4 linked regions of the Notamacropus eugenii genome follow. The protein of the gene in region 3 interacts with the protein of the main gene of each other region in a biochemical or structural test. Links are inferred from orthologs where the notes say so. Each region holds a gene or a part of one and is shown on either strand. Other genes may lie near its edges. The genes, in order: SMAD2, KCNA4, ERBIN and ABCA1.

Evidence for each region.
Region 1: the proteins of ERBIN (region 3) and SMAD2 form a complex in vitro, tested with the Homo sapiens proteins (2 studies listed by BioGRID). The link is inferred for Notamacropus eugenii from reciprocal best matches to the Homo sapiens genes ERBIN and SMAD2.
Region 2: the proteins of ERBIN (region 3) and KCNA4 interact in a test that uses a peptide from one of them, tested with the Homo sapiens proteins (3 studies listed by BioGRID and IntAct, with this or other methods). The link is inferred for Notamacropus eugenii from reciprocal best matches to the Homo sapiens genes ERBIN and KCNA4.
Region 4: the proteins of ERBIN (region 3) and ABCA1 interact in a test that uses a peptide from one of them, tested with the Homo sapiens proteins (2 studies listed by BioGRID and IntAct). The link is inferred for Notamacropus eugenii from reciprocal best matches to the Homo sapiens genes ERBIN and ABCA1.

Annotation. Positions count from the first base shown.
Region 1 is NC_092875.1:325,358,412-325,365,961, forward strand, and holds the start of SMAD2 (mothers against decapentaplegic homolog 2), read left to right. Parts: upstream 1-4,386; 5' UTR 4,387-4,806; intron 4,807-4,882; exon of another isoform or gene 4,883-5,213; intron 5,214-5,363; exon of another isoform or gene 5,364-5,696; intron 5,697-7,550. UniProt on the Homo sapiens protein: Receptor-regulated SMAD (R-SMAD) that is an intracellular signal transducer and transcriptional modulator activated by TGF-beta (transforming growth factor) and activin type 1 receptor kinases.
Region 2 is NC_092877.1:21,295,673-21,302,745, forward strand, and holds the start of KCNA4 (potassium voltage-gated channel subfamily A member 4), read left to right. Parts: upstream 1-3,947; 5' UTR 3,948-3,999; coding exon 4,000-4,028; exon of another isoform or gene 4,029-4,403; intron 4,404-7,073. UniProt on the Homo sapiens protein: Voltage-gated potassium channel that mediates transmembrane potassium transport in excitable membranes. Forms tetrameric potassium-selective channels through which potassium ions pass in accordance with their electrochemical gradient.
Region 3 is NC_092875.1:320,993,780-321,001,357, forward strand, and holds the start of ERBIN (erbin), read left to right. Parts: upstream 1-4,471; 5' UTR 4,472-4,610; intron 4,611-7,578. UniProt on the Homo sapiens protein: Acts as an adapter for the receptor ERBB2, in epithelia. By binding the unphosphorylated 'Tyr-1248' of receptor ERBB2, it may contribute to stabilize this unphosphorylated state.
Region 4 is NC_092872.1:61,855,294-61,863,267, reverse strand, and holds the start of ABCA1 (phospholipid-transporting ATPase ABCA1), read right to left. Parts: upstream 3,034-7,974; 5' UTR 2,405-3,033; intron 2,321-2,404; exon of another isoform or gene 2,080-2,320; intron 1-2,079. UniProt on the Homo sapiens protein: Catalyzes the translocation of specific phospholipids from the cytoplasmic to the extracellular/lumenal leaflet of membrane coupled to the hydrolysis of ATP.

The sequences.
Region 1 (7,550 bases), about 4.4 Mb from region 3:
AGGAATGCTTGAAAGTTGTCTATTTCATTAAATATCCATTTTTCCCACTGAAGGATTATACTCAGTTTTGCTGGGTAAATGATTCTTGTTTGTAATCCTAGCTCTTTGGAATATCATATCCCAAACCCTCCAATCCTTTAACATAAAAGCTGCCAAATCTTGTGTTATCTTGATTCCACAATATTTGAGTTGTTTCTTTCTGGCTATCTACAATATTTTCTCCTTCTCCCAGGAGCTCTAGCATTTGGCTATAATATTAATTTTGGGATCTCTTTTAGGAGGGGATTAGTGGGTTCTTTCAATTTCTATTTTACTCTCTGCTTCTAGGATATCAGAGAAGTTTTCCTTGACAATTTCTTGAAATATGACATCTAGGCTTTTTATTTTTTATCATAGTTTTCAGGTAGTCCAATAATTCTCAAGTTAATTCTCCCTGATCTATTTTTCCAAGTAAAAAGTTTTTCCAGTGAGATATTTTACATTGTCTTCTTTTTTTATTCCTTTCATTTTATGATTTCTTGATGTCTCGTGGACTCATTAGCTTCCACTTGCCTAATTCTAATTTTTAAGAAATGATTTTCTTCAGCAAGTTTTTGTATCTCCCTCTGTATCTCTCTTTTCTTCAGTGGAATTTTGTGCCTCTTTTACCATTTGGCCTATTCTGATTTTCAGGCAATATTTTCTTCATTTTTTTTTTCTGCCTCCTTTACCAAGCTGTTGACTCACTTTTAATCACTGTCATTTCTTTTCACATTTTTCTCTACCTCTTTTATTTGATTTTAACACTCCTTTTTGAGCCCTTCCAGGAATCCTTTTTGGACCCCAGACCAATTCACATTTTTCTTTGAGGCTTTGGAAATAGTATTTTGATTTTGTTGTCTTCCTCTGAGTTTATGGTTTGACCTTCTCTATCACCATAGTAACTTTCCATGGTTAGGTTCTTTTTGTTGCTGTTTGCTAATTTTTCCAGTGTATTTCTTGACTTTTGCGTAGAAAGGGCATGGTCCCAAGCTTCAGGGTTTTTGAGCTGCTATTTTCAGAGCTAATTTTTGAGGGGGTTGGTATCTTTAAGTTTTCAGTTCTTCCAAAGTGGTATGATCAAAGGGGAGGTGTGGTCACTATTCTTCTGGCTTGTGCTCTGATCTGGGAATGAATGCTGCACTCTTTCAGCTCTGTAACTGTGCCTCTCCTGTGGCCACATGTTCTACTATTCTAGTGATCCTCCTCACCCTGAGACTGCGCAATGGAACCACGTATTGGCAATGTAACAGCATCCTGTACCCAGTGACAAGAAAGGGTTTTCTGTAATTGCCTTCTTACCGGTTTTCTGACCCCTCTCTCCTTACCATCTGTGGGCTGATTTAGTCACCCTCAAGGCCTACTGCTGGCTTGCCAGGGCATGATCTGTGCTGGACTGCACTCCATTCTCCCCCTAGTGAGACATAACTTTTCTACCAACTTTCTAAGTTGTCTTGGGCTGGGAAGTTGTTTCACTGTATCTTTGTTAGTTCTGCTGCTCCAGAATTTGTTTTGAGGCATTATTATGAAGTTGTTTGGTGGGGAAATTGGGAGAGATGAGGTGAATTCCTGCCTTTACTTAGTCATGTGTCAAGGTCTTTTGAAACTTGACTTCATTTTCTAGAATCTTCTCTATCCCTTCCAGTACAATATCTTTGCCAAATTTGATTAACAGGTCATCTATACTTTTATCCAAGTCCATGATAAAATGTTAAAATGTTAAATAGTAGAGAACCGAGCAGAGACCTCTGTAGTTACTCCACTGGAGATATTCTGCCATGCCAGCATTGAACTACTAATATATACTGAGTTCAACTATTCAACCAATTCTAAATCTGTCTAATTGTATCTACCCAATGCCTCTTCATCTTCTCTACAATAATAGTAAGTGACACTTTATCAAAAGCTTTGTTAAAATCTGGGTAAATTATATCCATGGCATTCCCTTCATCTACAAATTTATTAAATATGTTGAAAAAGGAAATGAGATGAATTTGCCATGATCTATTCTTGATGAAGTTATGCTGGTTCTTTTTAATGACGGTTTCCCCTTCTAGTGGCTTACCAATCATCTCTTTAATGATATATTTTTGTATTTTCCCACAAAGTAAAGTTTATTTGTCTATAGCTTAAAAACTGTTCTCTCTCCTCCCACTTTTATTTTGAAAATCAGAACCACATTAGCACTTTCCTAATCTTGTAGTATCTCCTTTGTTTTTCATGATTTTTCAAATATCACTGATTAAACAGTCACATCCCTTCCAGTTCTTTCAGTATTTGAGTATATAATCTATCTGCACACCAGGTGAACTGCTTTAATCAAGAACAAACAGATACTCTTTTACCATCATGTTACTTGGGTATCAACTTGTTATTAGTCATATTCTGTCATTCCAGTGAAAAGATCATTTTCCTTAGTAAACAGAAGCAAAATAAGATTTGAGCAGTTTTGTTTTCTTGGTTCTTAGGTATCATAACCTCATGCACTCCAAGCAAAGGTCTTATCTCTTTCAAAGATCTTTTTCTCCCAATATAGCTTTAAATATACTTTTTTGTTATCCTTAGCTTCCCTTATCAGAAATAGCTGATTTTAAGTTTTAGCACTATTTCTACAAGAGGGATCATGTTCTTACATTCAACATGTTGTCAGCCTTAATTCCATGATCTTTTAGCCCACAGGATCCTATTTATCTTTTAAAATATGTTTTTTATTCCTCTCTTAAAGTTAAACACAAAACAAGAAAAAAAAATTCCTTGTATACAGGTAAACATAAGAGAGGATTCAATATAAAAAAAATGTTTATTCATGAAAACCTATGTAATCAATACTATGTATTTTTTCAAAGCTACCCAGCTTTTCTGTGCTTCCTTCTAGGTTTTCTTTTGTTGTCTACAGTGCATTTTCTATCTTATTTTTTCTCCCTTCATAAAAGGCTACAATTAAATATGAATATATATGCATATATATACATATCTATAAACATACACATATATTATACACATATACATATATACATATAAGACCATACTATGCATATTTCTATTTGTCAGTTCTTTGTCTGGAGGTGGATAGTACCTTCCTTCATAGTCCAAGTCTTTCCATGTTTTTCTAAATCAACCAGCTCATCATTTCTTATATCATAGTAATATTCCATCACAATCAAATACCCCATCCTGTTCATCCTTTTCCTAATATGACAGGTATAAGATGATATCTCAAAGTTGTTTTAATTTGCATTTCTCTAAGTAATTAGAGCAATTTTTCATATGATCATATATAGTTTTGATTTCTTCATCGAAAAGCTGCCAGTTCATATCCCTTGATCCTTTAACTGGGGTATGACATATTCTTATAAATTTGACAAAGTTCTTTGTATATTTAAGAAATGAGACCTTTATCTGAGGAATCTACCTATCTTTTCTCTGAATCTTTTGAAGCCTTTATCTCAGTCTACCATGTATGTCAGACTATGCCCAGATTTCCTCATCTGTCAAAAATTCTAGAAAGGAATGGTGTTCAATAAAGAGCTGATTTGATTTGACTATTTCATATTCTCTTCTCTAGAGGTTGAGGTACTCCCTAAATGGAAATGGCAGACTATGGCTGCATAGGCTGTCAGAGAGCCCTGGGGGGCCACCACCTCAAAGCCTCCTTACATTTCCATAGGGCAGATTTTGCAGTCCCACATCATGAATTGGACATTGGGAATAATTTAGGGTAATCAAAATAAATGAAAACAAAAATTCCAGCACAGATCAATAACTAGGATTTTGATAATATACTAGCCAAGGTGGTCAAGGAAGAAGAAAGGAGGAGGAGGTGAAGGAGAAGGAAAAGGAGGAGGAGAAGAAGGAAAAGAAGAAATTACTTTTGAAAGAACATAGGCAGTGTAGTAGTTAGTAAAGGGCAGCGTAGTAGAACAAGTCCTAGCTCTAGTATCAGAAGACCTGGGTTCTAATGTGAGCTCTGCGATTTACTCCCTACTTGAACTTGGACAAGACCCTTCCCCTCCCTGGGCCTCACTCTCCTCCGCTGAAAAGTAAGAGGACAGGATCTGGTGGACTCTGGGGTCCCCTCCATCATAAATCCAACGAACTTACTATGGCTGGCATATTTCACCGGTATAGCGGACAGAGACCCGCACCAAGCTCTCCTAGTATGATTGAGCCCCGCCCCTCCAGGACATCCTAATTTGCTCTTGGAGGTGATTTTGTCCCCGCCTCCTTATTTACATACAAGACCCTCCCGGCTTTTGACCACGCCCCCTTCCTTTTCTCAGTCCCATTTGTCTCCTATGGGGGTGGGGCTGGGAGCTCTCGTCTCCCCCTTTCCTTCCTAGTCCTCCCTCCCCTGAGCGTAGGTTAAATCCCTTTTGGAATGGAGAGGGATAGTCCCTAAACGAGCCCCACCCTGTGGCCACTTAGTGAGTGTGAAAGGGGTGATGACCTGGGGAAGGGGCGGCAAGCCAACGAGGCTGAGGCACGCTGGGTGAGGTAGAAAGATGGGTGAGTACTTTTGCTGGGATTATTTTCCCTACGCGGCAGGTTACTGTATGTTTAGATAAAGCCTGTCCTTCCGCCCTCCCCTCCTCCCCACCTCTAGTGAATCTCCTGTATACGCGGGCGAGAGGAATCAACCGAAACCGCTGCCTTTCTGACCCCTCCCCCCACACCACCTCACGTTCTACGGAGGAGGCGGGACCCATCGGCGAGCGACGTTTCCCGTCCGATTCAGGGAACCCGACGTGCCGCGCACACCCCGACCTCGGCAAGCTCCGATTCGTCGAGGTAGATGTCCATCAGATCGGGTGGGTTAGGAGGGCGTGGCCAAGAGGGAAAAGCGAAGAAGGTGTTAGTCCGCAACTCTCTCTCCCTGGCGCACTTGAGCTCCCTTCCCCCGCTCCCCGCCCCCCCACCCCATCTCCTGGGCGCGCGGAGCGCTCCTCACGGCCGGCGCGTCCTCACGCCCTAACGGGCGGGCGGGGGCGCCAATCAGCGGGCGGCAGGGTGCCAGCCCCGGGGCTATACTGACGAATCGCCGGGACCCGGGGCCCGGGGTAGGAGGCGGGTTTTACCCGCACGGCCGCGGCGGAGGAGCAGGAGCAGCAGCGGCGGCAATAGCAGCAGCTAGGTAGCAAAGGCAGCGAGAGCCGAGCGAGCGAGCAGCCGGGAGCAGGGTTCGCTGCGCGGCAGCGGTAGGTGGCACGGAGGCGGTGGGGGCAGGGAAACCGCGCGGGCCGGTTAGTCTTGTTCGTGTGTGTGTGTGTGTGTGTGTGTGTGTGTGTGTGTGTGTGTGTGTGTTCGCGCGTGAGGTAGGGGAGGAGGGGCGAGCGGTGGGACACGCACGTCCCCACGCCCTCCCCTATTTTCTCCTCCCTCCGGTGTGGGCGGACCGGGCGGCGGCTCCTCTTTCCCTCTTCCCGCGACCCTTTCCCAACCTGCATTCTCCCAGCCCCCCACGCCCCGCTGGTCCGCCTCCTCGCCTCGGGACTCTGCCTCCTCTGGGGGAGGGGCGGAGGGGAGAGTGTTTTCAGTTCCGCCTTAAATCGACCATTTCCACTCCCCCCTCCCCCTCCTTCCCTGCTTCCCCAGACTCCTACATCCCATTCCAAAGGGGAAGGAACAAAAGGTCCGAGACCCCCCCGATCCTGCCCGAGAGGGGCCGCCGCCTCCGTGAGGTAACACCCCCATCCCCCCCACCCCCTCCTACAATTCCGGGAGTCTCCGAGATGTATTTGTGCTCGCCTCCTTCACTGGGGGTGAATGGGTGGGGGGGCGGTCCTGTGTGGAGTGTGATCGGTCCTGGGAAGCGGCCGGGGCTGGCAGAAAGTGGTGATGATGGGAAGGGGCCAGAGGCGTCCTCTGCAGCCGGGGCCCGGAACGTCCATTGTGCCTCCTTGTCGGAACCCGTCCAGACAGTCTTTAAAGCTGGAGAGGGGGTTGGAGGTGGGGCAGTGATCCAGGAGTGGTGGTCGTCGTCGTAGTAGCTGTGGTGGTGGTGGTGGTGGTAGCGGCGGCGGCAAGGACTGCCTTTAGTTTCCTTTATTTATTATTATTTACTGCGGAAATGATTCCTTTGGGGTCTACTTTTTAAAGTTGCTCTACGAAAAGCGTGCCCATGGGGGATGCTTGCAGCATAATTCTATAATTTGCCACTTTCCTGGCGGTGAATACTGTAGTTTATTAAGTCTTGTGTGTACCTTTTAATCTTTGATTTAGGAATTATTCTGTTGATCCCAAACAAAGGGAACCAATTTAACTGGTTTTGTTGCTTCCCCTCTCTTCTCACCTCGTCTCTACCTTCAAAAGATCAGTGTCTGGGTTTTGTGTAGATGAAAATGAACTTGTTTTACAAATCGTGGCACGCTTAGACTTAGGGAAACTGGAAAGGAACATGAGAAGCCCGTCTAGTTCAAGTCCTTCATTTTATAGATGAGGAAACTGAGTCCCCTAAAAGCTAAGTGACTTAGCCAAGGTGGAGTAGGTGGAAGGCACCAGAAATGGGATTTGAGCCCCAAGTCATCTGACTCCAAAAGTCGATTTTCTTTCCTTTCCCTTCACCAAGGTCTGTATCTTGTGTAGATACAAATTTTATATATGTTTGTGTATATACATGCAACATATATATGCATCATATGCCATATATGCCAAAATCTGTGATGTGTACTTTAAAAAGCAAGTCATTTTTCAAATTAGTTGAAAAGATACCAGATTCATCACCCAGATTCATCAGCGAACTTTGACTTTAAAATAAAAGTGCAGTTCAATTTTCTTTTACTTAATTTCAAAAATCCAAATTTAACAACAAACTTGGACTGGAAGTAATTCAGTCTCTTCCCCTCCCTTGGATTGCAGATAGAGAACAAGAGAGGAGTGTTTTAGTTACTTAATCTATTGAGTGGAAATAGTTTAGCCACCAACTGCATTTTTTTGTTCTTTTTCCCCAATCTGTCTTAAAGACAGTAAAGTGTCTTAAAGTGTAAAGGGCAATACTTGAATGGCATCCTAGGTTTAGCTCTGGAAGAGACCGGTGTTAGAAGAGGTAATTGAGTCCAGCCCCTTCCTCTCATAGATGAGGAAACTGAGGCCTGGAAACTGGTGACTTGATTGCATGAGTATTAAGTGGGACAGAGTATTCTAACTCAGGTCTCTTTCCACTGTACCATATAGTCATTCTCTCCTTTGCCCTGGAAGTTTTGTGGAACTTTATGTGGTGGGGTTAGAAAATTTTAAAATCTGAATTTATGAATTTTTCATTATTTTTTCATTAAATAAAGTAATATCTATAAAATGAAAGAGAAGGGAGAGTAAGGAAAATATTCTGAAATGTGAATCATAATTTTTTGTGTATTTTTAAAACTAGAATATTTAAGAAGCCATTTTTAGTTGATGATATTTTAGTATAGATTTCCATTTTTTTCTAAAATGATGTAGGAATCCCCATTTTTTTTTCCTGCCTGCTAGTATTCTGCCAGCTACTCAAACCTAACATTTCCATAATCGAACTTCCCCTCCTTCTTAACTTCTGTATT
Region 2 (7,073 bases), on a different chromosome or scaffold from region 3:
AGATGATGGGAGGAGCATGAGTTTACCAAGGAAGGCTTTTTGTGGGATAAAGTTTTGGGAAGGTTGGGAAAGATGTGTGGATCTTAAGAATGAGGTAGAGAATTCAGTTTGAGAAGACAAGGAATTGGTTTGAAGTCAGGAAGCCCTGGGCTCAAGTCTCATCTCTGTCATAAGTGGAGAGCTATTGAACCTCTCAGAGCTCTCTTAGGTGATTCTCTAAGACTGTTACAACATGGTGGCTTGCAGTGGGGGAATCTCTTCCCTGGATGTTCCCAATACTTATGTAATCATGGGTCCAGTCTCTAGCTCCATCTTTTCTTGTGCCATCTCAATTAATTAAGGTTTAAAGTCTGGGTCTTAAAGTCAGATTTCAAGGTTACATCCTACCTCTAACAAACATCAGCTGTATGACAGTGGGCAGGGCATATAAATTGCTTGTGCCGCTGGAGGTTCTCTAAGACTTTAAATGACACGGGGAGTTCCCCACTGTGATGAAATATCAAGTTTTGGACCAAAAACAAACAAAATGTCATTTTTTTTAGAGGTAATGGGGATTAAGTGACTTGCCTGGGTACACACAACTAGTGAGTGTCTGAGTCCAGATTTGAACCCAGGTCTTTTTGACTCTGGTGCTCTATCTGTTGCACCACCTAGCTGCTCCAAAATACCATTTTCTAAAAGACCTCTGTGAGACCACTGATCATTGTTTACGAGATGAAAGGGAATTGTAAAGTTATCTAGCCCAATTCTGTCATTTAATAGAGAAGGAAGCCCAAAAGGGTTAAGTGACTTGCCCAGGGTCACACAAGTAGTACGTGGCAGATTTGAACCTGGGATTTTAATAAAAGTTCTGGCCTTCCTAAGATCTCTTTCTGTAGCATCCATTCTCTCCCTGATTAAGTAATCTGGATTCATGTTACATTGGAAATATGCTGTATATTTATAAAGTCCTTTCGCACCTTTAAATTATTAAAAAAAAACAACAACAACTTGAGGCTGTGTACATGGTAGAGGTGAAGGAAACATACTGGGAAGCATACTTAATACAGTCTTAACAAGGTAGAATGAAAATGTCTTGCTTTTGATAAAGCTACCATCTTGGGGACATCATTCAATTCTATTTTCCAAGCCAGTGACAGCACTGGGCTTCTGATGAATTTCATAAATTGCTTTGGAGCCAAGGACACTGGATCCCTGTTGCCTTCCCTCTTCCTTCCTCCACTCTCTAAGACATTTTCATGTTGATGAGACAACAGCTTTGTATTATGTTTGCTTCTATTCATGAGGAGAGTTGGAATAAGTAGTTTTTTATGTAGCTCTTTCAGGTTTGCAAAAATGCTTTACATATGTGATACCATTTCAGCCTCACAACAACTGGGTGAGGTAAATGCTATCACTGTTCCCATTCTATAATTGAGGAAACTGAGGCACTTCAAGATTAAGTGCTTTGCTTAGTGTCCCCACTAGTAAGTGTCAAGCAGGAGCCAAACTCAGGAACTATTGATTCTTGAGTCAAACTCAGGGACTTTTTCTCTTCAGTAGGACACCAAGTTGCCCTAGAAAAAAGTCCTTTTTCTCATCCTGGGCAAGGTTTGACACCCTTACCCCACCTCCTATCCCTACTTTCTATTCAATGGCGGCTCTGAGGCCCCACTGTATGACATTCAACTTGACTTACTGTAAAATAAATGATTAACTCTCCAGTCATTGTGAGGATGGAATGAGATATTTCTAAAGCACTTTGCAAACCTTCAAGCATCATGGAAATGCTATTATTGTGCCGCAGAATGTTGAATTTCCTCATGTTAAAATATTTACATTCGTAAGAAGCAGTATTAAAAATGTGGTGGAGACCGCTAACTGTCTACCTTGCTTATGCCCAATCCCCACTCTGGCCTAGTGCAAACATTCCTAAACAACTTTTTAAAAAGACGGATCCTTGTAATATACTGAATGAGCTGCTGAGGGAGACATAAGGAGGGTCTGAGGTTATAACACACACATAAATGAAAAGGTATATTTCTCTGCTTCTCTCTTTCCTGAACAGAAACTTGGCCCAGAGGCCACAAGTGAAAACTTTCAGGTTTGGTAAGGGGGTTTAGTAACCTCTGCTACTCCATCAGCCTGGTCTCTCTAGGTCATACTTTTAAAGTATATTTAATATGAAAAGAAAAACAAGCATATTGTTATTATTTTTAAAATCCCCTCATCAGGCTTCTTTTTACCTGCCTGGAGTGGAGAGGTGTGCGGAGGCATATCTATAATTCAACTCGTGAATATTTCTCTTAATAATTAATGTATTACCACAAAGGGAGAATGCCAACACAGTCTGTGAACAAAGCCATCCTTTGGGGTTGGCCCAAGCCTCTGGGGAGAAGACAAGCCTTGGGTTGCTCAGGCTTGTCCTCCCTTTGACCAGATGGGGAGAGTTCGGAAACGGGGAACCCTGGTTGAGTCAAGGATCTCAGATGCTCTGACTGGCGAGGAAGGGGACAAAAGCCTAGTTGTGATCAGTCTCAGTCCCTTCCTCAGCAGCTTTAACTTCTCTGTAAAGATGAGAAACCCAAGGCACGTACTTACAGACCAAAAAAACCCTTTTAGCTTTTTTCTTTTTCTTTCTTTTTTAAATGAACTCCAGACTACATCCATTGCAAGCGGCATATTAATGGCCAAGTGTTGACATCGAAGCTTCCAAGGAAGTCAGATCCAAGAGGAACTCACCTAAAGGGGCACCTGCTGCCTCTTTCACTCTCTCCTTGGTGGCTGGGCATTGGTGTATGTATTCCGACACATGGGAGTCACGGTCACCTAAGAGCTTTCCGAATCGGAAGGCCTCACCAACTTGAACAAAGAAAAAAAAAAAGTAAATATTTTCATGTTTTTGTGTAGGTGGGCCTCTACCCTTTCCTTAGCAAATGCCCCCTAGGAAAACGCAGGTCCGGGATCACGGGAGAGTGGAACCCCAGGCAGGGCGAAGTATTTGGGAACTGTCGGACCCCTCCTCCAAGAGAGGAGGTGGGGAGAGGGGGAGGATATCTCCATCCTTTTTATCCCTTTCCAGCCCAGAAGCCCCCCAGTCCTTTCCCCGAAATCTCCTGGTGTGCAGAAAAGGAGGAGGAGAAGAGGGAGGAGGGGTAAAGAGGGAAAGAGCATCCTCACTCCGAGGGGAGCAAAGAGCGAGGACGAGAAACTCACCCCCACGCAGCTCGAAGACAGGAGAAGCTAGGGGCCCACGGGTGGGATTGGAGCTTAGAGGGGAAAGCAGGATTGGAGGGAGTAGGCCAAGCAAGAAACAAAGGGAGGGTTAGGAGACACACACACACAAACACACACACACCACACACACACACACACACACACACACACACACACACACACACACACACACACACACAGAGTCGGGGGTGATGAGATTCCAGCTGGGAGGTAAACCCGGGTTCCCAAAGCTCCAGGCTCCGCGCCTTTGGGGTCTCCCGTGGGGTCCCCCAGCCCTAGTCCCTCATTTTAGCTCCGGGGCTAGCCGTCGGGTTCTCCACCCTCCCACTTCTCAGGGATCCTCCTCCTTCTCCTCTCTCCTTCTCCCTCCCTCTCCCTCCCGCACCCCCACCTTTTTATGCATGTGGGGGGTGGTGGTGATGATGATGGGGTGCGCCGGAGAGAACCCTATGGAAGGGCTTTCAGAGTGGATGAGCAAGAAGCAACATCCCAGACAGCCAGCCTTCCCTAGGGGGTGTGTGTAGGGGGCGGCAGGGTCCTTGGGGAGGGGGTGGGGCGGGGGAGGGAACTGCGGCTTCGTGACTGCTCCCGCCCCCTGCGCCCTCCCGGGTAGGCGCCCCTGGCGACAGCTTCGATCGCCACACCCTCGGCCCGGCCCTGGCCCCGCCCCCGCCCGGGGAGGCGTGTGCTGCTGCTGCTGCTGCTTCGGAAGAGAGGGAGGAGAGAGAGAGAGAGAGAGAGAGAGAGAAAGAGAGAGCGCGCACGGGAGAGAGGGAGAGATGGATGTTGGGGAAGGAATTCAGGCTTAACAAGTGAGCTCTGCTGTCTAGGATTTTTATCCCTGCCCTTGGCTCCCTCCCCCTCTTTTCCCCCTTCTCCCTATGTGTGGCCCTCCCGTCGCCTCCAGGAACGCAGATCTCCGGGGGCTCCTGGAAGCCTGGGTCCTTCCCAGGGTAGCACCATCCTCTCCCCCAGCTGTGCGGGGCTCCTTTGCCTCTGCCCTCCAACCCCAGCCCCTCGCCGATCTGAGAAGTCGCTAGCTGGGCTTATTTTGGCCCCTCCACCTGCCCCCCACCTGAGTGCTCCTCCCTCTTCTCCTGGATCCCTCTCCGCCATTCATCCTTGTTGGCTTTTGGCTTGGGAAAACAGGGAGGACCCCCCCCCCCCCAATCCTCTGCCTGGGAACTGTAAGTATCCTTGAATTCTTCTTCTTCCCTCCTCTCTTTCCTTCCCTTCCCCCCCTGCGGGGGGGGGGGTGTCACAGAGTTTCTGTTTAAAAACAAGGCATGGATGCGGGGCGGGGGAGGGGGCAGAAAACGAGGGGGCTACCAGGATCTAACAGAAGGGCATGAATGGAAGGCAGTTAAAAATAACCCTGGGAGATGGGAGAAGGGAGGTGCAGAGGATGCTGTCTGCTCCGCTTGCCAACAGTTGTTATTTTCCCAATCTCGAGGAAGGGGCTTCATGTCCCGGGTTTCCTATGCCTAGGCATGAACCTGTATCCGGAGGCGACTGTTCCATTAAAGATGTCGTTTCCCCAGCGGAGGGGGTGGGGGTGGGGGGCGGGTGTTCGGTTTAGCAGAGGCTGCCTGCCTCATCCCTGAGTCTGGTCCGCTGTTCCTTTGGGGAACAGCTGGTGAGCGGGTTTCGTTTGCTTGCTTGCTTCTCCCAGCTCTGAATTTGCATGTATTTTTATCAGCATATGATGAGCACACACTTAGGGGCTATATAAATGGCGCGTGTGTGTTGGTGTGCTTATTTCTCACTGTGTGTTGGCCTTTCACATGTGCCCACACACTCACAAGCAGAGGGACCACGTCCAGGTACCACCCTGGACCTTTTGGGGAATTAGAAATAAAAAAGAATTATATCCTGAAGGCGGTGGTGGGTTTGTTGGTAGAGGAGTGGGAGGAGTCTAAAAGGTGTGTGTGTCGGGGCGGGGAGGAACTGAGCATAATTATATTAGCCATAAATCAATCAGTCACCAAACATTTATTAAACACCTACTGTGCACACTCAGTATCTATGGGAATTCAGACATAAAAAGGGATGGCAGAGGGGTTTCTTGGTTTGGTCTCTACTGAGAAACCCTTGGGAGTAAATCTGAGTCAGCCTAGCTCACCCTGGGGAAGATTTGACCTAGTCAGCCTTGTTAGGTAGGAGGGAACTCTTTAAAGACAAGGGACAATGAGAGAACTGGTCACCAATGATAGGAAAGGGAGATGTTTCAACAGAAGGAGAGAAGAATGAAAGAGGGACACTCACTTTTCCCCCACCCTACACACCTCCTAAATCAGTTTGTAAAGTGGGAGCGAGGGCTAATGGACATAGAGGAGACAGACTAGTTTCTTGTCTGAGAGTTCTAAATATTCAAGGGTCAAGAGAAGTAAGAAATGATACAGGGAAAGTTGTGGTTATGTGCTTTATCTATCTATCTATCTATCTATCTATCTATCTATCTATCTATCTATCTATCTATATACGTGAGTTTCCATTTATTGATATATTTGTCTGTGCATTGGGAAGTAGGGATAGAGAGATCTGAAGTCACGAAAACAAACAAACCACCTTGTGCTTATTTGGCCTGACCTGAGCCTCGCTTTCATAGATTCTCTATTGTGAAAATACATCTGGAGATGTGTTACATTTAGGGACTTGAAGTTCCTGTAGAATGTACGAATAATTTCTTAGGGACATAGAAAAAGATAATGTAAGGCACCTTGAGAGATGTAGCCTCCCAGTTCTGTTGCCTGGGAAACCTCCAAATGGGGACTTCCTCTCCCTCCCAAGAAGAGCTCCCTTAATTGGGAGAGGTATATGGTCCCTATTTGCCACAGCTGGGCTTGCACATCCTTAATGCTTTCTAGGGCCTTCAGGGCTGACACACTTCAGTAAGGAGCAGCAGGTGGTCAAGAGATGGATTTTCTCAAGAATTCCCCAAAACCTTTTTGTTTTGGTCCCATGCATCTGGATGAATCTAGTTACAGCAGAGGCTGAAAATACTATTAGAAATGGTCTGTAAATTGCCCCTCTAATCATCCCCCAGTTCCGTGGCCCTAAAGTCACTTCATGAACTCTATTGCATCATATAAAGGGTAGAGGAAGGGAGATAGAAGATTTGGGGCTTTAGTGGGTGAATCCATGGATTTGAACAACTAGGAGAGGGACAAAAAATAAAGAAGATTGATTGAAAGTCCAGAGGGAAACTCAGTGACAGTGGAACCCAGATTGGGCCTTGGAGGAAGGTATATTCTTCAGTAAGGAGAAGGTAGGAAGGAAATGTGGATGTTGAGAAAACCAGAGAGAGAAAACTTGAGGAAATGGGAAATGAGGGGCACAGATGGGAAAACAACTAGTGAAGGTAAACCTTCTAGACTGAAAAGGGATATAAAAGGATAAAGAGACCATATGGTATACTGGTTAGAGTGCTGGATCTAGAATCAACTCCCACCTCAGACACAATCTATGGGACTCAGCAAATCCCTTAACTTCTCTGGACCTAAATATTGTCATCTGCAAAAAGAAGGGGTTAACTTTGATAACTTTCCAAGTCTCTTCCATTTCTAAATCTATGATCCTATAAGCTCCTATGTGGGAATTATGCCAGGACTCTTAAAAACAAAATTGGAGGAAAGGAAAGGAAAAAGGTGGATTATTAGGAACTGGGATTAATTGCCCTACCTCCTCTGGGTAGGGAACTAATCCAGAGTTTAGAAGCATGCTATTAAACTCAATCAAAATGTGGGGGAAAGGTGGAGGGAATTGGAAATATCTCTTGCTAAAAATCAGCTTTGGAGAGTGTAGGCTAGAATAGATTTCTTCTCTGTCCTCTCCTCTGCTCAGTGTGCTTATGCGGA
Region 3 (7,578 bases):
AAGAATTGCAACCACAGGACCCTCATACTTTCCATAGGTGCAGCCACAGGAACATTCTGAAAGGTGGTACTACTGGGTGTAAGATAAATGAGATTTTTAGGTCTACTTAATCCAAAGTTTAGAGATTCTAAATCAGGTTGTTCTCCTTTGGAAAGATTAAAGCCTTTGAAATGGGGATGATGTAGAGTAGAACAGGATCCCATATGAACCATTATAATTCTAATCACAATTATTAAGTATGGGTCAGAATTTCATCAGCCTTTAGAGATCCAGGATGAGCTAAAGCTTAATTAAGTAAATATTTACCATCCCAGGAAATATTTTAACCATCAAGGTGGACTTGGAGAATCAGGACAGTTTTAGGTTCAAATCTTGGGTCTCAAACATGCATGATTTTGGGTATGCCATTTTATCTGAATTTGTTTTCCCATATGTAAAGAGGGGATAATATTTACACTACTTTGTAGGGGTGAAGAGAGGAATGCCTTTTGCAAACCTTAAAGCACTTCATAAATATTATTATGCAGCCTTTATATTATGTCTCTTGACATAATCATGATATACTTGGGAACCTAGCCTTGGGTTAATGGTATGCATCAGCTGCTTCCTGGACTTGAAAGCTTCTCTTTAAAAAAAGATACAGATGGTGGAATACTACTGTGCTATTGGAAATAATGAGCAGGATGGTTTCAGAAAAACCTTCGAAGCTCTTAACTCATGCAAAGTGAAGTAAGCAGAACCAGAAGATTTACACAGTAACAGCAATACTATAAGGAGGATCAACAGTGAAAGACAACTTATACTGATCAAGATAATGATCAAACAGCAAAGGACCCATGATGAAAAGCACTATCCACCCCCAGAGAGACAATGTACTCTGGATGTAGATTGAAGCACAATTCTTTTTACTATTTTAATTTTTTTTAAATTTTGTTTGTGTTTCCTTTTTGCAACATGGCTCATATGAAAATGTGTATTCATCCTTCATTGTAGAAGAAGACCATGCCATCAGAGAAATAATGACATGACTTGCACTTGACTTTTTTTTTTTTGAGTGAGGGAGGGCTGTGCAGGTCACCAGCCTCATTTCTGCTCCAGAGCCATATGAATCCAGTGACCAGTTATTCATCAGGATGACTGGAGATGACCCAGGATGAAGCAATTGGGGGTTAAGTGACTTGCCCAAGGTCACACAGCTAGTGAGTGTCAAGCCTCTAAGGTGAGATTTGACTCCTGCACTAGAGAACCATCTAGCTGCCCCTCATATGGAAATATGTTTTGAATAACCTATAATCACGTATAATCAAAATTAAATTGCTTGCTTTCTCAAGGAGGGGGAAGGATTAGGAGGAAGAGTGAGAATTTGGAACTTAAAATTAAAAAAACTGTTAAATCTTTTTTACATGTAACTGGAAGACATTTAATGAAATAAAAATAAATTTAAAAAGAGATACCAGTTCTAGTTCCTGGTATGCTATAATAATTCACATTAATGTAACAGCTTTCAAAATGTTTTTCTTAATATCCCTTATAAAGCAAGTAGTGCAAATGTTACTATCTCCATTTTATAGAAGCAGAAGCTGAAATTCAGGACTTGTCCATGGTCACATGGATAGTAAATGCCAGAGAAACATGTAAAACCTGGATCTCTGACTTGCAAGGTCGATGTTCCCTATGTGACCTTAAATGATAAAGTATATTGTGGGGGGAAAGGCTGGATTTGCAATGAGGGGACCAGGGATTTTTCTGGTCCTGAAAATGTATTATCTGAAATTGAGCAAATCCTCTCAGGTCTCGGTTTCCCCATCTGTATAATGAGGAAGTTGGATAAGTTGACATCTAAGATGCCATTTAGTAGTAAAGCTTTTTTTTTTAAGTTGTAACCCTTAAAAAAAAGAAACACTCCCCAGGGACCAGAGATTTACCAAGTTTTTCTTTAAACCCCTCTAAAATCAGTTCTAGATCAGTGAAATAATCTGTTAATCCTGGTAGTTTTCCAGAAATTATAACGGCCCCCACTCTAATGTTTTGGACACATAGAAGATAAATTTAATCGAGGGTGTTTTTATATCGTAAACATTCACTTTGGTAAATAAGCTGTTGGGGACAATTTATGTGTACTTTCTGGATAAAAGTTTAAAGCCATCTATTCGATAATACAGTGTATAGGACTTTTTATTCATACTCTTTAATAAATAATTCCCTGTCATATGCAACGTTTGGTTAGACAAGTGACTTCAGGGGCCCGGAAATTAGAGGATAGAAAGGAGGCAGCTTCGTTGAAGGCTGGGGATAAAATGTGCCCCATATATCCTTTTTCTGTTCCTTTTCAGTAGTGAAACAAGATCATCTCTTAGTCTGTTAACATATCAAAAGCAAGAGGCAAACAATGCAAGAAGCTACACAATCCACTGCTACGGTGGAGGCTTTCTCGCTTTTTCCAGATGCAATGACACTGAATGCTTTAGTATCTCCCTTAATAATAAATGCAGATGTTTTGTGTGACTGCATACAGCTGAGACATAATCCAGCAGCTGCAGCACAGAAAGCAGCTGTTTGCAGTGCGCCAAATCCTCCTTCTCACCAAGGCACAGGGTAACAACAAAAGCAGTTTTGGAGCCGCCTTCCCCCATCCCGGCTTCGGTCTGGTCTGGCGGGCGGTCGGAGCCGGAGGCCCGGAGGCGCCTCCGCTGAACTGCTCTCGGGGCAGCCGAGCAGCAAAGCGGGGCCCGCTCCGGAAAGGACCCAGAGCTGCTGCTTCCGTGCAGCCCGAGTGTGGCATTCACGGCAGGCAGTCAGGACTGCTCCAGCTGAAAGGAATACTGCCGGCTGGAAGGAAGCCTTCCCTGCCCCTTCACACCTTGCAGATGCACGCCTCCACCACTCGAGGCTGGAGGGCCGGCGGGGCGCGTGGTCGAGACCCGGGGCCTGCAGCTTGCGGCCCAGGAGAAGACCCGGGGAAAATACAAGCACTTGGCTCGGCTCCCAGAGGAGCCGGTCGGGCGCCCCCGGGGCCCTTTCACTACTTGGCTCTTTGGATGCTCGTTGCAACTGGGGGCCTGGAGGAGCCCTCCGAGGGGAGCTGGGTTTATGCAAAAAAAAAGTTATCCTTGCGAGGATCGCCGCGAGGCTCCGGAGGGCCCAGCGGAGGCGCACGCTGGTCTGTTGCCATTTCGCGGCTCTCCCTCAGCACACTTCTCCCTCGAACCGGCCGCGGGCGGCCCCTCCCTCACCCCCCCTCCTTCCCCGAGGGAGGCTTCTTTCATTCCTTTCCTCTCCCCAGAGGCCGAGATGAGCCACTGGGTCGTCACGCCGGCCTCCGGCCGCTCCGTTGTGGCTGGCAGTTGGGGTGAGAGTCCGCTGGAGGCCGCTGGCACCCGCCCCCTTCCCCTCCCCCTCCGCTGCTCGAGTTCGCTGTGCGCAGTGTCTTCTCGTTCGTCCTGGTTGGGGGGCGCTGTTGCCGCCAGGTCCCCGCCAGCCTCAGCCGGAGAGGCCCCGCTCCCCTCCTGCTTCAGCCCCAGCCCGGTCCCTCCCCCCTCCTCCGCCGACTTCCCCTCCCCTCCGGTCGGTGTCTAGTGAATGTGGCGGGGCTGCCGCGGCAGCTTCGGCTCCGGTGTTAAACTCGGCGTCGTCGCCCGAGTCGCTCCCTCCCACCCCGCCCGCGGTCGCGGAGCCTCCTCCTCCGCCACAGCAGTCCGGGGCTCCGGGAGTGGGGCACGGGCGGGAAACCGCAAGCTCTAGGCGAGGGCAGGGGGGTGGAGAGGAGGAGGAGACGGAGAACCCGAGCCGGGAGGACTGACGGCCGGGGCCGGGGGCCGGCCCTCGTGCCTGCCCCCTCCCTCTTCTCCCTGGACTCGGGACCCCGGGGGCGGCCGCGGCAGCGCGGGCGAAGGGCGCGGCGGGCGCGATCGAGACAATAACCCGGCGGCAGCGGCGGCTGCAGGAGGTGGCCTAGCGAGGGCCGCGGCGGCGGCGGCAGCAGGAGGAAGGGGCGCAGTGCAGCCTCGCTCGCCGGGCCTGGGAGGGGTCTGGAGGGGGCGCGTCGTCGGCTCCCGCCCGCCTGGGAGCCCAGCGAGCGCACGGGTAGCTTTGCAGGATTGCCTTTGGATCGTCCATCTCTGCAGCCGGAGCTCGGACGGTCCTCGGCGGCAGCGGGGCTGACAGACAGACACCCCTCCCCCCTGCCGCCTGCCTCCTGCTCCCCACTTAGGTCGAGCCTGTTTTCCGGGTTCCCCTGAGTGGACCTGGATTCAGCTTCTCCGCCCGGGCAGGAAGTGAGTTTCACGCAGTAATTCCGGGCGGTGTCACGAGAGAAAACTTTTTTTTTGCCTTCCCCTTCTCCTCGGGGGATCCTGGTTGGGGAGGCTGGGAAACTCGTGTCAAAACTTGAGACCAGGAAACCGGCCTGCAACGCCCCGCTTGTGCCCCCAGAGCCGAAACCAGCCTCCTCTTCCTCTTGAGAGAGGCCGCCCGGCATCCCCATTCACCTCCTCCTTCCCCGAGAGAAAAGACCCCGCGGAGGATGGAGGGTTAGCGGCGTCTTGGGGAGCCAGGGACCCCCACCATGTCTCCGCTGGGAGCCTGAAGAAGAGGCCGAGAACTCTGGAGAGGTAAATGGGGGCGAACGTGGGGCGGGGAGCAGGGGCTGCATCTCTCTGTCCTTGTTCCCATCGGAAGCCCGGCAGCCCTGGATCGGTGAGATATCGGGGCTGCCTCTGCAGTCCACCCTCCGGTCTGGCATTATCGGGGGGAAAAGGGGAAGTGGGGAACCCAAAGTTGTTTTTTTAGGCTCTTGAGGACATAGAGTTCCTTTGTTCTCCCCTAGGTCCCGAAGTAGGTAAGCACTTGGCCGCTCCCAAAATGCATTCTCCTAAAATTTTTGTTTTAAGTGAACCGAATCTAGCAACTTTGGATTTGCCAGTCCGTCGGGAAGACGTCGCTGTGGGGTGGTGTGCCGTGGACTGCCCGCCACGTTTGTTTACACTGCTAACTAGTAGAGGGCGTTGAAGTGAAGTTCTCGGGGAGGTGAAGGCTGCTGGCTGTGTAACGCAGTGACAAACCCCAAAACTCCTTGGTTCTTGTTGGGGGAGCGATGGGGTGGAAGGCGATTTCAGGAAGATTGAGCCTGTGTTTTCCTGTCCTCCAGAAAGGGTGTTTATTTTGGCCCTTTGCAGAACCGTATGATAAAGTCTTTATTTCACAAATTTATTAAAAAGACAATTACCTTAATCTGATTTTTCCTGTTAGTGCCCAGTTTAGAAAGGAACGGAAATAAGGGATATGATTCCTTGTTCTGAGTAAAGAGGAACTTGTAAGTTTTGAAAAACACCTGCAACTATGTTGATAAGACTTTGATACTATTTATCTGCATGACAGCCACCGTACACATTTATACACAACTTTCTGGTATTTGTTCTTGACTTTTTGAGGATTATCGTTTTGACACAAATACTTATTATATAATGGATTTCTATTTAGTAAGTGTTGTGATCAAATTTAATTTGGAGGCTGAACTTAAAAAGCATGGCAAAAATTAATTGTAAACTGATTTAAAGAGTCACAAAATCTGAAGGGATATCAGAGGCCACCTAGTTCAGTCTAAGTGTTAAAAACAATTAGTAGACTTCACAGATTCTATCAGTTGGTTCTTGTATTTCAGCATATCTGAATTTGTTAGTGTGAAAGGATAGTTAAACTTTTGTCTGTAGTACTTAGGGTGCTAACGAACAAAAAGTTGTCTTTTTGAGTGCAAGGAAAATTCTGGAGGTAATTTCCCATTATAATATCAGTTGATGTTTAGTTTATCAGATCTCAAATAATTAGTGGCAGTTGAAAAAGATGGTAGCTTCCTTAGGGAAAGAAGAAAGTCCAAGTTTAAACTATCTCTATCAAATTATTACTTCTTCCTAACAGCTTTGATCTGTATTAAATGCAAAAAGACAGATAGTAAAAACTTAACTACTACATGTTAAGTTGGCCTTTGTCAGAGTCTTTTTTCTCCAGGTAGTTATTTTCTTGCTATTTAGTTCTGCAAGTAAGTACTAAATCAAACCAGCTTGCTCAAGGAATATAAAATGCACAACTGTATTATTAGCTAGCTGAAGAGGTTATTCCTGGACATCTGAAAAAAACTAAGCAAAATGAATGACATTGAACTTGAGGTTCCTTATATGGCACTTCCTTGGCATAAGAGCAACAAAGCCTAAATAGAGCAGCAGGCCTCTTACAAAGAAAGAGTACATTTCAAAGTTTTGTTTCTCTGTCTTAGTGACTTACAGAAGACAATCGTTACATCAAGCAATAAGTCTGTGAACCAGTTTTCGTTTTTTAATGTAATTTTTGTTTATCTCCTCTCAGGGGAGCCACAAATAAAGACTCAAGATTTTGAGTCAAGAAAATTTTAAACTAGATGTTATTAGTGTTATTTGAATAAATGTCGCTTATCTCTTTCCCCTTCCCCTCCCCCCCTTTCTGTTAGGAGACTCTGTGTACCATTGCAGAACCTCCATTATTTTGCGTTTATAGTCTGTAGAATTTCCTGGACCACTGACGATTTTTTCCAAGTCACTTAGCCAAGTGTGTGTCCAAGGCTTGCCTTGAATTACAGGTCTTACCTTGAGACTAGCTCCTTAGTCATGTTGCCTATTTTCCTTTATTTCTTTAATAAAAACATAATTCCCTCAATAAGTATAGATCTTAGAACTCCATAGGTCCATTAAGCTTGTTGGATACTAGTTTGATCAATTTATGAGACTGTTTTCTTCTGACAGCCTAGAAATAGAGAGTAGACACAATCCCAATTCACTTAACTTTCCTAGACTTTTTTCCATACTTGTAAAAATGAAGGAGCCTGACTGGATCATTTCTAAGTCTCCTTTCATCTTTACATTTTAGCGTTTTGTGATTCTTGCTTGTTTTGTGTGAATGTATTTATAAAAATTACATTTCTTCTAAATACTGTTATCAGTTGTCTGCAGTGGGTCAAATGTGTGTGTATATAAATAAATACTTAGATCTCTTTTGCAGTATTTGATCAGTGACATACATCCCTGAAAATTTTGCTTATAGTGCATGAAATACAGTTGGTGATTTTTATTTGGTTTGTTGAAAATAGAAAATTTAAATGTTTTCTTCCACTTGCTAGTTATGTGATTTGAGTGTTAAGTAATAAAGAACAGTTTGCAGTTTTAGATGATGTCATCTTAACATCTGAGTGCATGAAAAAGCTTATGCCAAAGTGTGGAAGCCAAATTTTGATTTTGTGGTTTTAGTTGTCTTGGGTTTAGTAATGAAGGTGGAAGCAGCATACTGTGGTGGAATAAGTGCTGTATTTGGAGTAGAAGGACTTAGGCTCTGCCACTTTACAACTTGTATGATTGTTGGCAAATTTTCCAAACTCTCTGGTCCTCAGTTTCCTCATCTTTAAAATGAGGAGGGGTTTGGACTAGAAGACTGTTAAGGTCCTCTGCAGCTCTGAATCTGTGATCTTAATTGTTTCATTTAACTCCTTGTAATAAGTTTGAGCTATGTATGTTTCTCCTATGCAAGAATGAAAAGGTTTAAACAAAAATTATTAAC
Region 4 (7,974 bases), on a different chromosome or scaffold from region 3:
TTAAAGTAAGTATTGAAAAATTATATTAAAATGAGGCATATCAAACAAGCAGGACAGCTTTGAATGCTACATATTGACTTAATTATTACAGGTGGCTACGGTGGATATAATGTTGGACAGAGTCCGTAGGTCTAAGTTTGAATTCAGAATCAGCCATTCTATAAAATAAAATATTAATAATAGCACTTAATTCACCCAAATGTAGTGAGGATCAAATATATGTAAGGCACTTTGCAAGCCTTAAAGCACTATGTAAAAGCTAATTTTTATTATTATTAAAAGCAAACTGTATATACATAAAAGATTTTAAGTTTCAGGTACAAGTCTTCCTGTTCTACTACGGATATGTAAATGTACCTTTATTTGGAGTTGTTAAGTTCAGCAAGGAAAAATAAAATTTGAAATAAAATGAGTTAAGTACCTTTTTTTTGTTTCGCATTTTCATTTCAATTGTTCCACACAGTGGAAACTGCCCAATTTGTCCCGTAAGAAAGTGGCTGTTTTGTTTTGTTGGGAATCTGGGGTGGAGAGAGCAAACTCACCCTCTACCCGGTGTTATTGCCAAAAGGTGAGAAAAAAGCTATTACAGCTGTGATTTCATTTGGTTCCATTTTAATAATTAATGAATTGTGAGTTGCTAAAGTTATAATTATTTTGTTTGCCGGTCAAGACCCAGATCTCCATAGGGTGTCACAAGAATAAAACAATGAACTCAGTCTCAGGCCTGTGCTCGCTTTTCGAAGTATCCTTCAAAAGTATCACTTGCCTTCTTCTAAAACCTGATTATCTCAGTGCTGAAAAGGAACAGTAACCAGGTTACTGTGGTCCAGAGTCTGTTTCATTTCTGCTAAGTCCCCAAAGGAGGGAGTCAAAAGACAATGAAAGCGCCCAGAGCTGTGGACTTCCACCTCCGGGAAACTTCCAAGATCTAGCCAAGGATGGTTGGCGGCGGAGAACAATCACGAAAATCAACAAAAAAGGGGGCTTTCTAAAGCTTCCTCCTAGTCTGCGCCAGCACAGTTTCCCAATCCATGGCTGACTCAGTCTAGATCAGAAAGGAAACACAGAACTTTGCATCTACAGCCCAGACCCGCTGTCTGCCCCAATCCTCAAGTTGTCTCTAAGAGTCTGTCGGTCCTAGTGGCACTTAGATGGGACCTCTTCAAGCACCCCCACTTTCCCCCCCACCCACATCCCCCCACCCACCCACCCACCCACCACTCCAGATGGAATCCCCACCCCCAACAAGGAGGTCTGGATTCTTTAGCCCAAGAGGAGGGGGAGAGAAGCAAGGGGAGGAAGTAAAGGGGTGGGGAGAAAAGGCTTGGGGGGGGGGGGTGCTGCTGCGCGCCCCCGCCCTCCCCACGCTATGTGGCAGAGCTCGGTGTTCTGCGCAGCCGGCCCGGGGTTACTCTCGGTCATTCTAGCTGCGCCGCCGTCTCCACACAGAGACAAGCAGCAAAGACCAAAATTGGGGGGTAGGGGGTGGGCTGGAGTCAAGGAGGTAAAACAGAATCGCACCACAGATTACATTAATCCACCATCTCCCCCCACTTTTGAAAAATATGCATATGTTCACCAGGTAAGATCTATTAGCAGAACCACACAAATGTTAATTAGAAATTATTAGAACTATGCTGAAAATTGGAGCGGGGCGGGGGGGGACAGAATGATCAAAGCCATGAGAAGGGGTTAAACTGTTTAAGGAACGTCCCGGGTTACACAAGAAAAGCTTTGTCAGTTACAAGTAATCAGCAAGAACACAGCTCGATGCCTTTCTTGTGGGTTGCCCAGAGGAGCAAGCGAAGGAACCGTCTCCCAGCTAAAAAAGCGCACGAACCAGAAAACCAAAAAGGGGGTTCGGGAAGAGTCCTGTATCCCTCAACAAAGGCGAGGGAGTTCCTGCTGCACCAGGTACTGCTCGTCCTCCCTTCGGTCCACAAAAACTCTGAATTCCGCTCCCGCAGGTCTCCCCCCAAAAGTGGTTCGCGTGCTCCCCTTTAACGTCCTTCTCCCACCCCACTTTCCCCGGACTCAGCCTCGCGGTCGGCAGGATGGACAAAGAAAGGGGCCCCGTACCCTTGGTCCCCGCGGATCCCAAGGGATGCTCGTCTTTCTCTCAGGAGGAGACAAGCCTCCCGACCTCGTCCCGAGAAGAGAGTGATGACGAAATGGAGAAGGGGGAATTGTTTTCATGCTCCCAAAGCACAGAAACCCTGCCCAGAGGCGAGAGAAGGCAGGCAGATGTGGGGGTCCTCCCCTCCACCCAACAGTAAGAACAAATCACAAAAATCAGACTTTTCCTCTTCCGAAAGAAAAAAGGGGACCCCCCCTACACACACACACACACACACACACACACACACACACACAGCAAAATCTTAACTTGTTGGAGAGCTCTTACCTGCTTTCCCGCTTTTGTTTCTGCCACTCTCTCCCCTGAGCCTTTGGAAATATTTGTGCAAAACAAAGCAAAAATTTAAAAATAGAGAGAGAGCCAAAAAATGGGCTCTCGCCCCCGATAACCCTTTAGTGCCAAGCTCTGCTTTAGCTTTCCTGCGGGCAGCAACGGGCTCCCGCTTCTCTGCTTAGCACACGGTCCTCAGTCCCTCTCTCCCAGAATTAAGGGTTTTTTAGCCTGGACTAGTTCCTTTTATAGATTCGGCTGCGCTCAACAGCGGGGTTATTATCGGTCAAACTCTGTTCTCTTTCTCTTCCCCACCCCCTACTTCCCGGCTCTCTGTTTATGTAGTTCAGTCACTCACCGAAAGCACGTGGAGGAGCGACACGCCCCTTAAAAGGGCGACAGGCAGGAGACCCGCTCTCCCCCAACCCCTTCCCCCGCCTCCCCTCCTCTCCCTAGCCGCTGAGTGGTGGATGGGATGAACTGAGGCAGGTCTCCAGGAGGGAGTCTGCCCAGGATCACTTCCAGAAAAGCCCTCGCTGTACAATGGCCTGCGCTTCGTGCTCCCGTCTGCAGTCCAGACAGCCCGACGTTTCAGATAATCCTCTCAAGCTCCAAAGTATCTGGAAAAACCAAGCCACTTAGAAGTAAAGGAGAGAAGCAAGGAAGAAGCCCACTTTCTCCCCTTCCTCTGGGGGGCGGGGGCTTGAGTGGGAGCAAACTGCTTGACAAGCCCCCCCCTGCCCTCCCCTTTTTTGATCCTAGTTTCGTTTTCTGTGCTTGGGGACCCAGGCTAGAGACAGACCTTGAGGGTGGAGGGCGCTTTCTCTCATTTTCTCCAACCCGAACGACTTAACTCTTAAAGTCAAGGGTGTAATTAAAGACTTTCTCCTCCCCCTTCAACCCCTTCCTCGAATCCTGCCCCTTTGCCCAGAGGGCGATACTACGTCAGAGTCTGCTAGTGCAAGTGAGAGACCCACTTGCTCTGTCTTCTCCCCCTTTCCCCCCTCAACAAGCACTCAGGACATCCTCCTGTGTGGGAGAGGGGAGGAAGGGTTTGTGTGGTTGAATTCCTGAGAGACTCCACACACACACACTTGGGGCCAGCGTCCAGTTTAGAAAATAATCTTTATTCTCTGTACACAATGACAAACAAAACATATTGTCAACATGCTCTTTTTGCGTTGTATAGATGATTCATAGAGAACCAGTCCCTAGGCTTGGTAATTACATTATAACTCTGCCCAGCCAAACCCTTTTCTGAACAAACATTACGTCCGCAGATCTGAGTTCTAGTCTCACATATGCATTTGTTTTAACTCTGTGACCCTGGGCAAATTACTTAGGAGTTTTCTGCCTTATTTTCTTCATCTGTAAACTGTAGCTAATAGTAATATCTATCCCCTACCTGCCTCACAGGCATGTTATGAAAATGAATAAAACATTTGTTGAAACACTTTGAGCCTCTCAGAAGAAAGGCTCTATAAACAGAGAAGGTACTATTATATGGTTGGTTGGCAGCCATGGCCCATAAAGCAGTGTTGCTCTGATAGGATGTTTTCCCATACATTGCATTTAAAAACCGAAAGCCAACAAAAATTTATGAAGTTTTGCTACATCTGAGCAGGCAGAGCTGGTCTAGTTTTATGAGTAAATAGAGTTGGCCGGGTCTTGCCTTAAATAGCCTGAGTGTTGGGCTTGAAGGGATGATAGAGATCATGTCAGAGGAAATTGAGTATGTGTGAAAATCACCCTGGTTTGGGAGTAAAATGATCAGGGCTACAATCCAGGAGCCAGCTTCTTTTCTCAAAGTTACTAATGACAGGTTTCTCAGTGAGAAGGGAAAGAAGAGAGGGAGAGAGCAAATTTGGAACTCAAAACTTTAAAAAATAAATGTTAAAAATTGTTCTGACATGTAATTGGAAATATATGTATATACGTGTGTATATATACATATGTGTGTACATATATAAATATATACACAATGTGTGCATTTGTACATAAATGTGTCTGTATATACCTACACATATATGTGTGCCTGTGTATATAGCGTGTGTAGGTATGGGGGTATATATACATATATGTATATACACAAACACACATACCTACACACACACATATAATTTAAAGTTACTAGTGTCAGGGGCAGCTAGGTGGTGCAGCGGATAGAGCATGGGTCCTGGAGTCAGGAGGACCTGAGTTCTAACACTTCAGCTTGTCTGAAACTGAAGTAGGCAATGAGGTGGTGCAGCAGATCAAGTGTTGAAGTTGGAATCAAGGACACCTCAGTTTAAATCCTACGTCACACATTACTTAGCCATGTGACACTAAGCAAGTCACCTTAACCTCACTCAGCCTAGGTTTCTTCATCTCTAAGAGGAGGACAGATAATAGTGTTTTCCTCACAGCATTGTTGTGGGGCTCCAATGAAATAATGTGCAAAGCACTTCACACCCCTGCCAGTTATTGTTATAATTCCTCCCTGTACTGGCAAGTAAAATAGAATCTTTTGCTGTTTTTGTTTTATTAAAAGTACCTCTGATTGAATAATGTGATTGGGGAGGATCTCTCCCATCTTTTGAGGGGACCTTGATTAGGGGAGTTGTTGTGTAGGAAGGTCCCAAGTACCTTTTGTTTTTTCTATTGAGGCACTGGGTCAGAGGGTTGTGTGTGTTCATCCTTCATTGCTAGAGAAGACCATGCCATCAGAGAGATGATAACATGACTTGCACTTGACTTTGTTTTGAGTGAAAAGAGGGCTGTGCAGGTCACCAGCCTCACTTCTCCTCCAGAGCCATCTGAATCCAGTGACCAGATATTCATCAGGATGACTGGAGATGACTCAGGATGAGGCAATTGGGGTTAAGTGACTTGCCCAAGGTCACACAGCTGGTGAGTGTTAAAGTGTCTGAGGTGAGATTTGAACTCAGGTCCTCCTGACTCCTGCACTAGTGCTCTATCTACTGCACCACCTAACTGCCCAAGGTCAGAGGGTTATAAATACTCAGAGGATGAGGTTTTACTTTGAGAGGCTTAGTTTTTGGAAGAAGGTCTATGTGCCAGATGAGACTCTGGGAAGCCACTAAGCAACCCCTCCCCAGCTTTTTTGAAAACCCAGATATTGATGCTTCCCTGTCTGGTTAAGATGTATGTATGTTAGTGGTCAGGCAGTTTGGAAGCGCTATCTGTTGATTTTTGACTTCTCTGAAATATTGACTTTGATTTTTTCTGATACCTGTGCTTAATTAAAGTGATTATTAATCACTTTTATTATTATTAATCACAATTAAAGTAATTGTTAAACCCTCAAAAGTTGCATTTCCCTTTGTGAATGCAAATCTAAGAACCTGTGATAGCAGGTCCCCCTGTATATGGTGGGGTGCTTAGTGCTACACTCCCCAAAAAACCTGTCCTTCCTCCTCTAATTTCCATTCTTATTGATGGCCCCATGACTGGTTAGATCACCCATGCTCAAAACCTCAGGGCCAGGTTTGGCTCTTCCTTCTCCCTCATTCCCTCAATCTCCTGCATTGCCAAGTTCTTTTATTCTGTTCCTACAATATCTTTTATCCCTCCCCTCCTTTATACTCCAAGTGTCACATTCCAGTTCAGGCCCTTGTCATCTATTGTCTCCCTACTTTTGCCCTTGCTCCTAGGCCTTTATCTTTCCAATCTGTCTTTTACGGAGCTTCCAAAACAAGCTTCCTAATGCACCAGTCTGGTCCAAGTCAGTAACATTGAGCACTTCATCATTTCCTACAAAGTAATACCAATTCCCACTTCTGACATTCAAGGCCCCCTGCAATATGGCATTATTTCACTACGCTCTCCTTCATATATACATATTCCAGACAAATTGATGCACTGGCTATTCCCTAAACTGATCCTGCTTTCTCCAAACTGTGCATTTACATCATACATACTCCATGACTAGAGTGGATTCTGTGTGATTTGGACATATTTCCCTTCATTCAAGATCCAGTTCAGATTCCATTTTATCAAGGAGGGAGGAGGCTTGTCCAGTGCTTCTGGTGAAAATCGGTACCTGTCTCTCCAATCTCTCATCCATTTCTAGTTGACCTTTCTTATACACTTATCACACATGATCAAAGGTTTAGAACCTGAAGTAACCTTAGAAGTCAACTGGTCTAACCCACTCATTTTACAGAAAAAGAAACAGACCAATAGAGGCTAAGTGACTTGACTAAGGGTTATACAGACAATAAAGAGCAGAGCCAAGTTTCAAATCTAGATCAAACCTAGGATGACAAGTCCAATATATTTGCCATTATACTGCACTCTCTTATAGTTACCATATATACATGTCACCACTAACTCTATGATATTGTAAACTCCTTGAGGGTAAGGACAATGTAATTTTTCATTTTTGTGTCCCTGGTACCCACACATAGTGGGGACTTAATAATTTTAAAATTCTAATTTGTTGTGAAGAACACACTTTGTAAATCATAAAACATTATATATAAATACAAGTTATTATCATCTAACCTATTCCCTCTCAATTTTGAAAATGAGATAATTGAACCTCAGAGAAGTTGTGATTGAACATGGTCACATAGGTAGTGAGTGGTGGAAACATGATCAGAGCCAATGAAAACTTGGCACAATAGATTCAGAATCAAAGGACCTGGGTTTAAAGCCTACCTCTATTGGTAATTAACCATGTGACTTTGGGAAGTTTTCTCATCTGTAAAATGAGAGGATTGGATTGAATGACCTCTAAGAACTGTCCCTTCCAGTGTTAAATCTAAGATCCTACAAACCCCACATGTTGCCTCTGCCTCCCACTTGTCTTAAATCCTGAAATTCCACTACTGAAAGATTTATTATTTTAGTTCCGGAAAGCATTTTGATCAACTTGTCCAGAGAAATATCTTGGTGTTTGATCAACCATCTGAATAGCTGAGGGTAAGGCTCTATGGTGTACATAAATAACTTAGGGTAAGTTGGTTGGGGCTTTAGGGAGGAAGGGGTCTGGGGAAGGGATACAGAGGTAGGGAAAAATGAAGAAAAGACGAATGTTCCAAAGACAAATTTCACCTACTTCATAATTCTACCCAAGTCCTGCCCTGAAAAGTGCAGAATTCATGAACCACAGGCACCAAATCTTTGCCCAGACAAAGAGTAAAGGATAAGAAAGGGTCGAAGATGACTGAGGCTTTCAGTCTGACTTCCTGGAAGAATCATTTCTAGTGTATATGTTATAATTTGACTGCTTCCTATGATTAAAATAGCTACCTCTCAATTTCTATGTCTATAAGACATGGGAAAGCAAGGACACTGAGGCTCCAGGTACTTATATGTCTTGGGGAAATTGAAGTGACCAGAGAAGAAAGTGAAGAAGAAATTGTCCAAGTTGAAAAAAGACAGTAGAGGCCTGCTATCTGTACCATTAGAGGGATTACCTATATCAGGGATGGGGAATCTGCAGCCTCAAGGACACATGTGGCCTTCTAGGTTCTCAGGTGCAGCCCTTTGACTGAATCCAAACTTCACAGAACCCCCTTAATGAAAGGATTTGTACTGTAAAACTTAGACTCAATCAAAAG